4 linked regions of the Saccharomyces cerevisiae S288C genome follow. The protein of the gene in region 3 purifies or fractionates together with the protein of the main gene of each other region. This does not show direct contact. Each region holds a gene or a part of one and is shown on either strand. Other genes may lie near its edges. The genes, in order: QCR10, DLD1, PET9 and RIP1.

Evidence for each region.
Region 1: the proteins of PET9 (region 3) and QCR10 purify together in Saccharomyces cerevisiae (affinity purification with western blotting; 3 studies listed by BioGRID, with this or other methods). This does not show direct contact.
Region 2: the proteins of PET9 (region 3) and DLD1 purify together in Saccharomyces cerevisiae (affinity purification with mass spectrometry; 3 studies listed by BioGRID, with this or other methods). This does not show direct contact.
Region 4: the proteins of PET9 (region 3) and RIP1 purify together in Saccharomyces cerevisiae (affinity purification with western blotting; 3 studies listed by BioGRID, with this or other methods). This does not show direct contact.

The regions. Positions count from the first base shown.
Region 1 is NC_001140.6:105,724-108,885, forward strand, and holds QCR10 (ubiquinol--cytochrome-c reductase subunit 10), read left to right. Parts: upstream 1-2,102; coding exon 2,103-2,108; intron 2,109-2,171; coding exon 2,172-2,399; downstream 2,400-3,162. Other genes in the region: oxysterol-binding protein related protein OSH7, read left to right, coding at 332-1,645; LEU5 (coenzyme A transporter), read left to right, coding at 3,089-3,162.
Region 2 is NC_001136.10:144,875-149,280, reverse strand, and holds DLD1 (D-lactate dehydrogenase), read left to right. Parts: upstream 1-1,691; coding exon 1,692-3,455; downstream 3,456-4,406. Other genes in the region: GLT1 (glutamate synthase (NADH)), read left to right, coding at 1-78; PAR32 (Par32p), read right to left, coding at 203-1,090; AIR2 (TRAMP complex RNA-binding subunit), read left to right, coding at 3,763-4,406. UniProt on the Saccharomyces cerevisiae protein: Catalyzes the stereospecific oxidation of D-lactate to pyruvate.
Region 3 is NC_001134.8:162,501-165,993, forward strand, and holds PET9 (ADP/ATP carrier protein PET9), read right to left. Parts: upstream 1,498-3,493; coding exon 541-1,497; downstream 1-540. Other genes in the region: SHE1 (She1p), read left to right, coding at 1-215; YBL029C-A (uncharacterized protein), read right to left, coding at 1,988-2,272.
Region 4 is NC_001137.3:105,349-108,581, reverse strand, and holds RIP1 (ubiquinol--cytochrome-c reductase catalytic subunit RIP1), read right to left. Parts: upstream 1,323-3,233; coding exon 675-1,322; downstream 1-674. Other genes in the region: YEL023C (uncharacterized protein), read left to right, coding at 1-78; YEL025C (uncharacterized protein), read left to right, coding at 2,435-3,233. UniProt on the Saccharomyces cerevisiae protein: Component of the ubiquinol-cytochrome c oxidoreductase, a multisubunit transmembrane complex that is part of the mitochondrial electron transport chain which drives oxidative phosphorylation.

The sequences.
Region 1 (3,162 bases), on a different chromosome or scaffold from region 3:
TAAATCGTTTTGTGGATGTGTAATTGTTGGAGTTCTTCTTATCTACTTTTTAACTTGTGTGTAATTAGAGCTGTACATTCAAGGTAAGGAATGTAATGCACCAATGATTACCTAAATCAAATTCGAAATATGTATCAGTATATTATAGGAATGTTAATTCGCTCGTGCGTACTAATTTTTCCGAGGTCACTCGCAAATCCAGAATTCTAAAGGATGAAAGTATATTTTCTGAAATCGTCAACAAAGAAGGGATGTGATATATTCAAAATGGAAAGATTCCTCCTTCTTTCATTTAGAAATAGGAAACTAACCAGTAAATTAGAAACAAAGAATGGCTCTCAATAAACTAAAGAATATACCTTCTTTAACAAACAGTTCTCATAGCTCAATTAACGGCATTGCATCCAATGCTGCAAATTCCAAACCAAGCGGAGCAGACACGGATGATATCGATGAGAATGATGAATCTGGGCAAAGTATTCTATTAAATATTATTTCCCAGCTGAAGCCAGGTTGTGATTTATCTAGAATCACACTTCCGACATTTATTCTGGAAAAAAAATCGATGTTGGAGAGAATCACTAATCAATTACAATTCCCAGATGTTCTTTTAGAAGCACACTCCAATAAAGACGGGCTGCAAAGGTTCGTTAAAGTGGTAGCATGGTACCTAGCAGGTTGGCACATTGGGCCCAGGGCTGTGAAGAAGCCCCTAAATCCCATTCTTGGAGAACACTTTACAGCTTATTGGGATTTGCCTAACAAGCAACAAGCCTTTTACATTGCAGAACAAACGAGTCACCATCCTCCTGAATCTGCGTATTTTTACATGATTCCAGAATCGAATATTAGAGTTGATGGAGTTGTTGTGCCAAAATCGAAATTTTTAGGAAACTCAAGTGCTGCAATGATGGAGGGGTTAACTGTATTGCAATTCCTTGATATCAAGGATGCAAATGGTAAACCAGAGAAATATACTCTATCGCAACCAAATGTTTACGCAAGGGGAATTCTGTTTGGCAAGATGAGGATTGAATTGGGAGATCACATGGTCATTATGGGTCCTAAGTATCAAGTGGATATTGAGTTCAAAACAAAGGGCTTTATTTCTGGTACCTATGATGCAATTGAAGGTACAATTAAGGATTACGATGGTAAGGAATACTACCAAATTAGTGGTAAGTGGAATGATATTATGTATATCAAAGATTTGAGGGAAAAAAGCTCTAAAAAGACTGTTCTCTTCGATACTCATCAGCATTTTCCTCTAGCTCCTAAAGTCCGCCCATTGGAGGAACAGGGAGAATACGAATCGAGAAGGCTTTGGAAGAAGGTTACGGATGCGCTGGCTGTACGTGACCATGAAGTAGCTACAGAAGAAAAGTTTCAGATAGAAAACCGCCAAAGAGAGCTGGCCAAAAAGAGGGCCGAAGACGGCGTTGAATTTCATTCAAAACTATTTAGAAGGGCAGAGCCAGGTGAGGATTTAGATTATTATATTTACAAGCACATCCCTGAAGGGACCGACAAGCATGAAGAACAGATCAGGAGCATTTTGGAAACTGCCCCGATTTTACCAGGACAGACATTCACTGAAAAATTTTCTATTCCGGCTTATAAAAAGCATGGAATCCAAAAGAATTAGGCTTCTCATTCTATTTTAATTATACTAGTACGATTTCTCACTCTGTAATTTAATATCAGTGTAATATGCACCTAGTTATGGGTAGTTTTTGCTAACGTTACGAGCCGCGAAACTGTCCTCAATCTTCACCACTACCTCTAATGACTGAAGAATGCTATGCGATATAACGCTGTCGCACTTTGAATATATACTTATATTTACATAGTTTTCAAGTGCGTATTACTATTGCAAAGTAGTATTTTGTCACGTGATTTTGATCCAATTAAAACTAAATATGGTTCAACCCGTTGTTTCCGCATCAAAAAACCATACCATTTATCAAGGGGACGGGATATATCACATAACAGTTTGAATGCATAATTTGTTATAGATATCTTCTGGAATAATCTTCACAGCAAAAGCGCAAGTCGAATAATATATCGATAAATACAATCCATAAGACTTAAAACTAACCTCAATGGCGGTAAGTATCCTATCATATTATGTGAGCTAGAACCGAATTAGTATACTAACATTTATAATACAGTACACTTCTCATCTGTCTTCAAAAACTGGTCTACATTTCGGTAGACTTTCTTTAAGAAGTTTAACAGCTTATGCTCCGAATTTAATGTTATGGGGTGGTGCTAGCATGCTTGGGCTATTTGTATTCACAGAAGGATGGCCTAAGTTTCAAGATACGCTATACAAAAAGATTCCGTTGTTAGGACCTACATTGGAAGATCATACTCCACCAGAAGATAAACCTAATTGAAGCCAAAACATCCAACCGGCTGAGTGATTTTATTTATTTGTTTTACGTTCTTTTCTATCATTTTGGAAGAGGAATTAATGCAAAACACATTTGTATTTTTTTTTATTTTTGCATATTCTCGATTATCTATACATATTTTTAAACTGGATCATAAAAGGTATAAAAAGTAATTGATCCATACAACATTTTTAAATATTTACCCCTCTATTTTCAGAATATTTACTAAAACATCAGTTATCAAAGAGTAGGGAAAAGTTAACTACAGGTTTGTTTTTCCTCTTTTTATGTATCTTTTGAGCTTTGTAATTGGGCAGCACATCTCTATGTTTTCAGGGAAACCTATTTCATTCGCCATTTTGATGATTTAGGCATACGCCAATGCTAACGCCGTTTCTTGTAATTTCTATTTTTTCAAATGGAGTACTTTACCTTCCTCCCGCAGCTGGAACTTTCAACCCGCCGGAAGAAAAGACCAAATAATATTATAATTAATATTTAAAACCCTTGAAAGATCATCTCTTAAAATAACCTCAAATAGTGTAAATCCAAGCACTTGAAAACTTTGCCGTTTTAGAACTCGTTAAATCCTTTAAGAAGGACATAACAGCCAGAGTAACAAAATAGTTTGCTCGTGAAAGCACCAGTGAAATTTCTCGAGGTAACTGCTAAAATAAACACAGTTCTTAAGTATGACGCGAGATAGCCCAGATTCTAACGACAGCTATAAGCATATAAACAAGAATACTACACAAAAAACCTCGTT
Region 2 (4,406 bases), on a different chromosome or scaffold from region 3:
ACTACGTATCTACCAAGTAATGGTGGTATCGTTCAACGTGATTACAAACTATTGAAAGAATTAGCTAGTCAAGTCTAAAAAGCTTGAGTTATTATTTATTTTATGATCGTATATTATTTATTTATTTATTTATTTATTTATTTATTTATTTATTTATTTATTTATTTTATTTAGTTTATTAATTTTGCTGATGAATGTTATTTCAATTAAACATAGTTTTCAAAGAACTGAAAAACCCTGATTTCTTCTTCTTCTTCTTCTTCTTCTCTTTACCATTGTCATCTTTCAAATTAAACTTATCTTCATCATCATCGTTTAAGTTATGGTTGATAGTGTTCCTGCTTGACTTTGGAGAAATTATGTTTCCAGCGCCACCTCTTCCAATAGCAAATTTTTCCGGTGCGCTTTTGCCCTTGAGCTTATTTTTAGGCTTCTTGGACGTGGACTTGATTGCCGCCAAAGCATTGCCATTGGAAGTCACCACAAACAGGTTGTCCTCGTTTGCATTGATAGTATCCTCATCCTCGATATTGCCGCCTCGTATCTCATCCTCTTCATTTCCACCATTGCTGGCCACCTTTTTTTTGTTGAAGAAAATGTTTCCTGCCCCACCTCTACCAACGACAATTGGGGCGTTGTTGTTCGGAGACGAAGTGGTGGCATGCAAAGACTGATGGCTCCTTGTAGCGCTGATACGAGACCTGGTGTTGGTCACCGGGTTTGACCCACCTTCATCCACCATATCCGAAGTTATAGGGGAAATATAATCGTCGATGTCATTGATCACGTCGTTATAGTTGATATTGTCGTTAGAGTCCAGTTGTTGGGCGGATCTCGTCAGGTGCGGATCATGAAAGATATTACCGGCACCACCTCTACCAATTGCAAAACGAGGAACCTTTTCCTGGTTGCTACCGTTATTATTGTTGTTTGCTACTGTCTTTGAATTGGATTTCAATGGAAGAAGTACGGGAGACGGCTTGGACATAGATTTATGGATGTTGCCAGCTCCGCCTCTGCCAGTGGAGACCTTGTACTCTTGTACACGTGCCTGGTTCTCCATCTCGTTTTGTGGGTTGAACGTAGCCATACTAACTTGGTCTTACGCTACTGCTGCTGCTAACGCTGCTGCTGCTTTTGCTCATATGCTTCCATTGACCGTCATTAGTATCAGCGTCAGCCTTTTTGACATAAGCCACCGCTCTGTCAGGGTAACCCTATGAAACATTTCAAAACGTTATAAAGGAACTCGTCTGGTTACAACAAGGAAATATCACTACAAACAGCTGTCCGTACGGCTCCTCAACTCTCTCAATGTTGTTCGCCTGGTCACACACAGCATAGTTTCGTCATTCGGCGCCGACGGTCGCTGTCTCTTGGAGCCTTCAAGCTCTTGTCAACCCAGGTCCGTTGTGCCGATAAAAGTAACAGCAGACCCCCACGCCCGCATCCCACTCTCTTCTCCGACCACCTCCCTCGAAGTTCTTCCCTGCCAATCCCACGTCGATCCAGCGTAGTTGGCCCCAACTGGTGCAGTAATAACCGCTTAGCGATTTTGCACTCGGAACTACATATGTATATATATATGTGTGTGTGTGTGTGGGCTGGAAAGATTTCTTGAGCTTCCGTGTTATAGTGCAATTTAAATATTGTACATCATTCCGATCCAGCTGGAAACAAAAGCAAGAACAATGTTGTGGAAGCGTACTTGCACAAGGCTAATAAAGCCTATTGCACAACCTAGAGGAAGGCTGGTGAGAAGATCATGCTACAGATACGCCTCAACAGGCACAGGCAGCACCGACAGCAGCAGCCAGTGGTTAAAATACTCTGTCATCGCCTCTTCAGCTACTCTATTCGGTTATTTGTTCGCTAAGAACCTCTATTCTAGGGAGACTAAGGAAGATTTGATAGAGAAGCTGGAAATGGTCAAAAAGATCGACCCAGTAAATTCTACGTTAAAGCTGTCCTCATTGGACTCACCAGACTATTTGCACGACCCGGTTAAGATCGATAAGGTTGTTGAGGACCTGAAGCAGGTGCTGGGAAACAAGCCTGAAAACTACTCTGATGCGAAATCCGATTTGGACGCCCATTCAGATACCTACTTCAACACGCATCACCCCTCTCCCGAGCAAAGACCTAGGATTATATTATTCCCTCATACTACCGAAGAAGTTTCCAAAATTTTGAAAATATGTCACGATAACAACATGCCAGTTGTACCCTTCTCGGGCGGAACGTCCTTGGAGGGGCACTTCCTGCCTACAAGAATTGGAGATACCATAACCGTAGACCTGTCCAAGTTTATGAATAACGTCGTAAAATTTGACAAGCTGGACCTGGACATCACCGTGCAGGCCGGTCTACCCTGGGAGGATTTGAATGACTATTTGAGCGACCACGGTTTGATGTTTGGCTGTGACCCTGGTCCAGGTGCACAGATTGGTGGTTGCATTGCTAATTCTTGTTCAGGAACCAACGCCTACCGTTACGGTACCATGAAGGAGAATATTATAAACATGACTATAGTGTTGCCGGACGGGACCATTGTCAAGACGAAGAAAAGACCCAGAAAGTCGAGCGCTGGCTATAACTTAAATGGTTTATTTGTGGGAAGTGAAGGTACCTTAGGTATTGTTACTGAAGCTACTGTCAAGTGTCATGTCAAGCCCAAAGCTGAAACTGTTGCGGTGGTATCCTTTGATACTATCAAGGATGCGGCCGCATGTGCTTCTAATCTGACTCAGAGTGGTATTCATTTGAACGCCATGGAGTTACTGGATGAAAATATGATGAAGTTGATCAACGCATCTGAATCCACGGACAGATGTGATTGGGTAGAGAAACCAACTATGTTTTTCAAGATTGGTGGGAGATCTCCCAACATTGTCAATGCTCTTGTGGATGAAGTTAAGGCTGTCGCCCAGTTAAATCACTGCAACAGTTTTCAGTTTGCTAAAGATGATGACGAAAAATTGGAATTATGGGAAGCTAGAAAGGTCGCGCTATGGTCTGTGCTAGACGCTGATAAGAGCAAAGACAAATCAGCTAAAATTTGGACAACTGATGTAGCTGTTCCTGTGTCGCAGTTCGACAAGGTTATTCACGAAACTAAAAAGGACATGCAAGCTAGTAAGCTGATCAACGCCATTGTTGGTCATGCAGGTGATGGTAACTTCCATGCATTCATCGTCTACAGAACCCCTGAAGAACACGAAACCTGTAGCCAACTTGTTGACAGAATGGTCAAGAGAGCACTGAACGCAGAAGGCACTTGCACGGGTGAACACGGTGTTGGTATTGGTAAAAGAGAGTACTTGCTCGAAGAATTAGGTGAAGCACCCGTCGATTTGATGAGAAAGATTAAGCTAGCTATTGACCCAAAGAGAATCATGAACCCGGACAAAATCTTTAAAACTGATCCAAACGAGCCCGCTAATGATTACAGGTGAGTATCTGATTTTCCTTTTTCACCCTTCACGTAAACCTGAAATATATTTCATGTAATATATATAGTTCATCCTTAAAGAAAACATACCATTTCAAAATGCCCTTTCCCAGTAGCTAATACATGCTTAAAAATGTGATATATATTATTACCATCAAATGTATTCATGATCCGGGTAGTGCCTTTTTTTCCTTCAAACACTAATGGGATGGGAAGAAACATTTCGAAAAAAGTTATGACTATTGGCAGCATCAGAGAGAATTAAACCTTACCTGTACAACGATAGCAGCTTACATCACTTCCTCGCAGTCATGGAAAAAAATACGGCACCATTTGTCGTCGATACGGCACCCACAACTCCTCCAGATAAACTTGTAGCACCTTCTATAGAGGAAGTAAATAGTAATCCCAACGAATTAAGAGCTCTTAGAGGGCAGGGTAGATATTTTGGCGTAAGCGATGATGACAAGGATGCCATTAAAGAGGCAGCACCTAAATGTAATAATTGCTCTCAAAGAGGTCATTTGAAGAAGGATTGTCCCCATATAATATGTTCGTACTGTGGGGCGACGGATGATCATTATTCTCGACATTGTCCGAAGGCTATCCAGTGTTCAAAGTGTGATGAGGTGGGTCATTACAGGTCACAATGTCCACATAAATGGAAAAAAGTTCAGTGCACTCTTTGTAAGAGTAAGAAACACTCAAAAGAAAGATGTCCTAGTATATGGAGAGCATATATTTTAGTAGATGATAATGAAAAGGCTAAGCCCAAGGTCCTTCCCTTTCATACTATATACTGTTATAACTGCGGTGGAAAGGGGCACTTTGGTGATGATTGCAAGGAAAAACGATCATCTAGAGTACCTAACGAGGATGGAAGTGCGTTCACTGGTTCTAATTTGTCAGTTGAGCTAAAACAGGAATATTACCGTCACATGAACAGAAATTCGGA
Region 3 (3,493 bases):
ATTCAGTTTCCGTTTTTGATAGACTTTACAAGCAAACAACGTTCTCTAGGTCGACGTCTATGAACAACTTATCGTCAGGAACCTCTGCAAAATCCAAGGAACACACAAATGTAAAGACTCGGTTGGTTAAAAGTAAGACAAGTGGTTCATTGTCCAGTAACCTTAAGCAAAGTACTGCCACCGGCACAAAGAGTGATAGACCTATTTGGCGGTGATTAAGTAATAAAAAAATTGCATTTTATAAGAAACATCATGTGATGACATTTAAAAAGTGGGAAAGAATACTACTAATATAAAACTATTTACTGGATATTTAGAATTTTTTTTTTTTCTTCTTTATACGTAAAAGTTGTTCAAAAAATTTCATCGTTTTCTTTTTTTATGAATCTTTGATTCTTGTTGAAAAGAATTTCTAAAAAAATAGGAGGATAATAATATTATCAAAACAAATCGTGTCACTCATTAAACACCAAAAATCCAAAGAAGAAAAAAAGGAAAATGTGAGAAAGAATTTAGATTAAGAATCAAGCCAGATTAGACTTATTTGAACTTCTTACCAAACAAGATCATTTGCAGTTGGTCGTACATTGAGATAACACCAGCACCTGCGACACCTCTTAAGATGTTAGCACCACAACCCTTGAATAGAGAACCAACACCTTCAGCAGCAACAATCTTCCTCAAACAGTCAAAGGCACCGTCGTACTTAACAGCTTGACCGGAGGTCATCATCATTCTTCTTCTAACGGTATCCAATGGGTAAGAACATGTAGAAGCACCAGTAGTAACAACCCAACCCAACAAGAATGAAGCCAAGAATGAACCTTCCAAAGAACCAGTCAACAATAGAGGCTTCAAAGAATCGTACATACCGAAGTATAGACCTCTGTAGACAACAATACCAACGACAGAAGGTAAGAAACCTCTGTAAAGACCAGCAACACCATCAGATTTTAAGGTCTTCTTGTAGACATCGATCAAACCGTTGAATTGACGAGCACCACCCTTTTTAGAGGACTTGGAGTCAGCAGCCAATCTAGTTCTTGCATAATCCAAAGAGTAAACAAATAGTAATGACAAGGCACCAGCAGCACCACCAGATGCCAAGTTACCGGCAAACCATTTGGCGTAACCTTCTTCCTTCTTGAAACCAAACATGGCCTTGATCTTGTCCTTGAAGGCGAAATTCAAAGCTTGAGTGGGGAAATAACGGATAACGTTAGCAGTGTTACCTCTCCAGAATGAGATAACACCTTCCTGTGTAGCGGTTCTCTTGAAACAGTCTAAGATACCTGCGTATTTTCTGTCCAAAGTACCTTGTTTTAACATTTCATCTTGGTTTTGGATCAAAAGTTTAACTCTTTCGATGGGAGATGCAGCAGTTTTGGCGACAGCGGCACTGACACCACCCATTAAGAAATCAATCAAAAAGTTAGATTCCTTCTTTGGAGCTGGGGCTGGAGGTAATGGGGTTTTGACTTGGGCGTTGGAAGACATGGCTATTTGCTTATATGTATGTTAATGTATGATTCTGAAGTATAAAAGAGCACACAAAAAAGAACAACGACAAATATAAATAATATAGAGGGGCTCCTTTGACTTGTAGATGTATTGCAATGTTCCGTATAACTAACAGTGAATATATACTTTTTTGAGTGGGTTGTCGTGAAAAATTAATATTAAAAACTCAAATGGTATTTATATTGTGCGACGACGTGGGCCCGATCGACGGAGACATGTCCCCGATAATCGCACCTCACCCTCTGAGAGTGGGGCCTTCTCATTGGCCCGCGCTCTACACCAATCAGCATAGCGCATTTACCGCCTTTCGCTTGTTCTCCATTGGAAACAGTGCTCGTGCATCGTGATGTTATTTGTTACGTATGGAAAAATCGTGTCTATACTTCTGTATAATATATGTATGGTTATAGTGAACACATATATATAAATACATATATAAGAGGAAGAAAAGGAAATTATTTCGTTATCAGTTGGGCTGCTTTTGTCGTAAGTTTTGTTGTTCTTGAATGACTTTATTAAGCTGTTCGTCATTCTTAAAATCTTGTCGCCAATTGCATATGGGGCAGTGCAACTGTTTTCCCCAGAAGACCGGAACCAACGGTATAAACCAAATAGTGAAAAATTCCTTTCTTTTTATGGGGCCGACACTATAATTGTGACAATTCGGGCAATACAGGTTTTGATGTCCGGGAACGGTATCGTATGAAGAGTCGAAACTCTTCATACCACATACAATAGGTATGAATGACATGGTAATTTTTTCTTTTTGAGGTTGTGTATTAAGTTGCTTATCTGATTTCACTTTACACCAATCTTCCTTGCTGACATTTATTCCCAACTTGTTCTTCAGCCGCTTGTTTTATAACGTACATTATTGTAAAAACGGAGTAGAAAGGGAAAAAGGGAAAGGGATGGACGTGGCTAATGCGCATCTTCGTTTGTGTGTATATCCTTTGATCTTCACTACATAATTTGTTACCCGACAATGCTTTTTTTTTTTTCTCAATTTTCATCTCTTTTCTTTTTCCTCATTTCTTATGAAAATCAGTGTGACTAAAATGAGACTTCGTATTTTTTGTAGAGGCACCATACGCCGGCTCCGCCGTCACCACATTCTCCCCTGCCGGTAAAGACCGGCGCACGCGGAAAAGGCGTACATAGCGTCGGGCGGTAACGGAGTCATTCCATCGCTGATAATTACCCCTTGCAGCAAACCCAGAGCCCTATTACGAATCTAGCCCATACACCGCGTTAGAGCACTCGCCGTTTTGCTCCGGGTCGTGCCGTCGTACATGCATACGCGTCCTGCAGGCATACCATAAGCCCACATACAATCACCTGTAGAAAGAAACAAAGCTTGTGTATGTAATCAAAGCAGAAATCTGATGGGTTCGAACGACTTCGTTATAGAAATATTATCTTTGGGTCTCGTCCTGCGTTATTCCTCCTGTCTCCTGCCGCTTTGATAACCTTTTCATTCCTCCCCTTAACTTGTTATTTCGTGTTACGATATTGGGTAACTTAGTAGCGTAAATGGTAAAATGTAGGGACTCAATCTCATAGGTGGTTATGTTTTTCGTTCTCATTTTTCAAATCTGTGACTTCACAGACAAAACGCGTAGTGATTTCTTTATCTGAATGAGCCTTCGAAAAAAAAAACAACGATTTCTTATGCAGTTAGTCGGCCAGTTGGTTATTGACTATCTGTGCGATTCCCCTTCCTGCATAAAAATAAACACAATCTTAATACGCCATACGTTGACTCCATTTTTTGCTCGTTTCATTATATTATCTTCCCATGCCGCTCCTGCGTGGGATTCCCTTTATTATAACTTTTAAGGTTTCTACCCACATATATGCAATTTTTATCATGTTTTTCTCTTTTTTTTTTTTTTTTTTTTTTTTCTCTCTTTGTTGTGTTTTCGAGAAAAAGTTCAATTGTTTAAAAGGAATTAAGCAAATTATATATATG
Region 4 (3,233 bases), on a different chromosome or scaffold from region 3:
ATGGACTGGGATAGTAATTCCTGGACAGATATTCCAGATGATTTAAAAATATACCTACAGCAAGATGAATCGCTTTAGCATTAAAAAAACCCCTTCGGTACGTAATATAAAAAATTTTATAGGTAATATACATATATAAAAATACTTCAATCATTTTTACAATCTTGTATACTTTATACAACATGTGAAATCTTCTGCTTCTGGACATCAATATTCAAATACAGGCCAATCTTAGGTAAAACATTTGGAGAAAAGAAGGATAAGGCAGGACGAGGGAAGATAAATAGTTTCGTTAATTATAAATACATGCAGATAAATAAAGGAATATCAAATATTATGAATAGAAAAAGAAGATGGTGAGACAAAAAAGTAGTAATAAATAGGTCCAAATCTTCTTTATTTCCCCTTTCTTTTCTTATCCTTTTGTTTTCTCCATATTGTATAAGAATATATTCTTAGGAAAATCAACAGGGAATACAGTATAGTGATTTTCGTTCCTTTTTGAGCGTAATCCCTTCGAGACTGTGATGTTGATTATTTTTGTTGTGATTTCAAAATTCTTAGGTTAGTTGTATAGTTCCCGTTCATAACATAATGGATAGTAAATGAAAAATCAAAATAAGGGTGAAACAAATAGACAATAAAGATGTAGTTTTCGAGGACGAAAAACAAACCTAACCAACAATGACCTTATCACCATCGAATTCATAAGCAGGAATTTCTAAGTTTAAGGGGGCAGGTCCCTTTCTGATTCTACCGGAAATATCATAATGTGAACCATGGCAAGGACAGAACCAACCACCAAAATCACCGGCTTCACCAATTGGAACACAACCTAAGTGAGTACAAATACCCAGCATAATTAACCATTGAGGGTCTTTGACTCTGTCAGCATCGGTCTGTGGGTCCTTCAAAGCGGACATATCCACACTGTTGGCTTCCTGAATTTCATGAGGAGTTCTGTGTCTAATGAACACAGGCTTACCTTGCCATTTGACAACCACGTTTTTACCCAATGGGATAGCCGCTAAATTAACTTCAACTTTAGCCATAGCCAAAACATCGGCAGTAGCGGTCATAGATGAAATAAAGGTTTCTACGGTTGATTTGGCACCTGCAGATGACAAAAGACCCATAGCACCGACCATAAAGTAAGCATAAGAACGGCCTTTATCAGCATCGTTATTTTCCTTTAAAACGTCATCAAAATTTGGGGTCCTGTACGTGGATTTGCTAGCCAGCAAAGATTGAGAAATCAGTCTTTTGGAAGTTAAAGACATTGGCTTGAAGCAGGTCTTGACAGATGATCTTATTCCTAACATGTTTGTTATTGCTCCTTTCGGTTTCCTAATAAGTGTTAGAGTGATATTATTTATGTTCAATAATTTCTTGGTTTTTAAAAGACGTTGAACTTGAAAGCAACAAAAAGTTACGACAGAGAAGTAATATATTACTTGATATTCAAGAACCAACTATAGTTCTTGCAGGTCTTTTTCCAGTCCTTATAAGGGAGCCTCCGCGTCGCCGCACGTGACCCAAGACCGATAAATGGCGCAAAACGCTGATTGGTCCGTTATGGAGTGTCTAAAAGGAAAAAGATGCGCTATGGACGAACCTGAAAGAGGCCAAATGATAGGGAAGCTTAGAGTGAAAGGTGGAACAGGAGAAGTTGAAAGGATGAAATACACAAGATGACAAGAAGGCTCGAATTAAAGGCGGCTAGTTATTTCAATTTAGGAAGCATTTGCTCTAAGAGTCGATGGGTCGTACTTCATGCACATTATATTACGCATGAATAGCCGCCCAAGCTATATGAACTTATTGGTGGATTTTTGAAACCAATAAAAAGGATTTATGAGAAAGAATAATCTTCCTCTGGGGTATTCATAGCTATCAACGTATGGTTACCTTGTCTTAGTCGGACACTGGACATAACTCTTACAATGGCTGTTAGCTTCTCAATTGACAATGGTATTTAATATACCAGGCGGTTAAAGAAAGGGTAGGTATTTTTTTCTACCTAGTTCAGTTTATATGGATGAGACAGGGATAGACGGGCATGTACGGAGTTTTTCGACTTGATCAGTGCAATCCACTGATTATCGTTTTATGTAGGTATTTTCTTGAGTTACAAAATTTTAGGGAAAGTATGGATACAACCAGAGAGCCGATGTGGTGTTTTTTTTGGTTTTTAGTACATGCAGTACGCTTCTTTTTCTATTTCCTGTATACTTCCTTTAAGCGTATTCGTCGTTATAGGTTCTATTTGCTTTCAACTGAACGCGCTTGCCTGAACGCCTAAAGCGGAAAGAAATACATGACTGAAAAACAGACATTCTGGTCGCAACTCAGCGAAAGGGAGGGTAGAAAAATATATTGTGTTATAATGTCAGCGTTAGCGCATTGCATATTGCACTAGCCATTGCCACGTAAAATGGCAAGACAAGATGAAACGGACTGCAAAAAATTGGATAGCAATTCGGCCTTTTTACCTTTATGCATAACATCTTATAGATCAAAAGATGAGGCTGAGAAGCTGGTAAGTTGTCTTCATCACGAAGGAAGTTACTTTTTATGTTTTAGCTATGGATTGTATACCGGAACGTCCAACGAATTGAAAGCGAAGGTTGAGTTCGCTTTAGATGGACCGTTCGTTGTTAACTACGCAACTGTACCGATGTTCATGTCAGCTTCCTTCTGTCACCTGCTAATGTTTAACGACGGTTCCATTAAGGGATTCAAATGCGAAAATAACAAATTTGAAATTATCTACGACTCTAATGTGGCTCCGAAACTGGATACTATTTCTTTATTAACTTCCAGCTGGTTAAATGCTTCCTTTGAGGGTGTTTTATACACTTGCAATAAAAACATATCATATGATAGTGATTTGCATACGTTATGTACGACAATTTACTCCTTTGACTTCAGAGAAGGAATAGTCGAAAGATTTTATGCCACCGATGGCGAAGAAATTATCTCCTTTGATTTTATTAGCAGGGAGGATTTGCTTGACGACGCCACATGCACAGGTAAATCACACGTTTATTTTCTTTGCCTACTTAAGAGTTGCTATAGTGAAAACCTGTTTTTAAAGGAATACAATCTTGCTGGAAAGCATGGAAGTAGGAAATTTGATTTAAACGAGTACCGCCAATACAATCTTTTGCCGATATGTGATAATGAATTTTGTTATATGAAGGTAGTTTGCGGCCATACCATTGTAGTGTTGA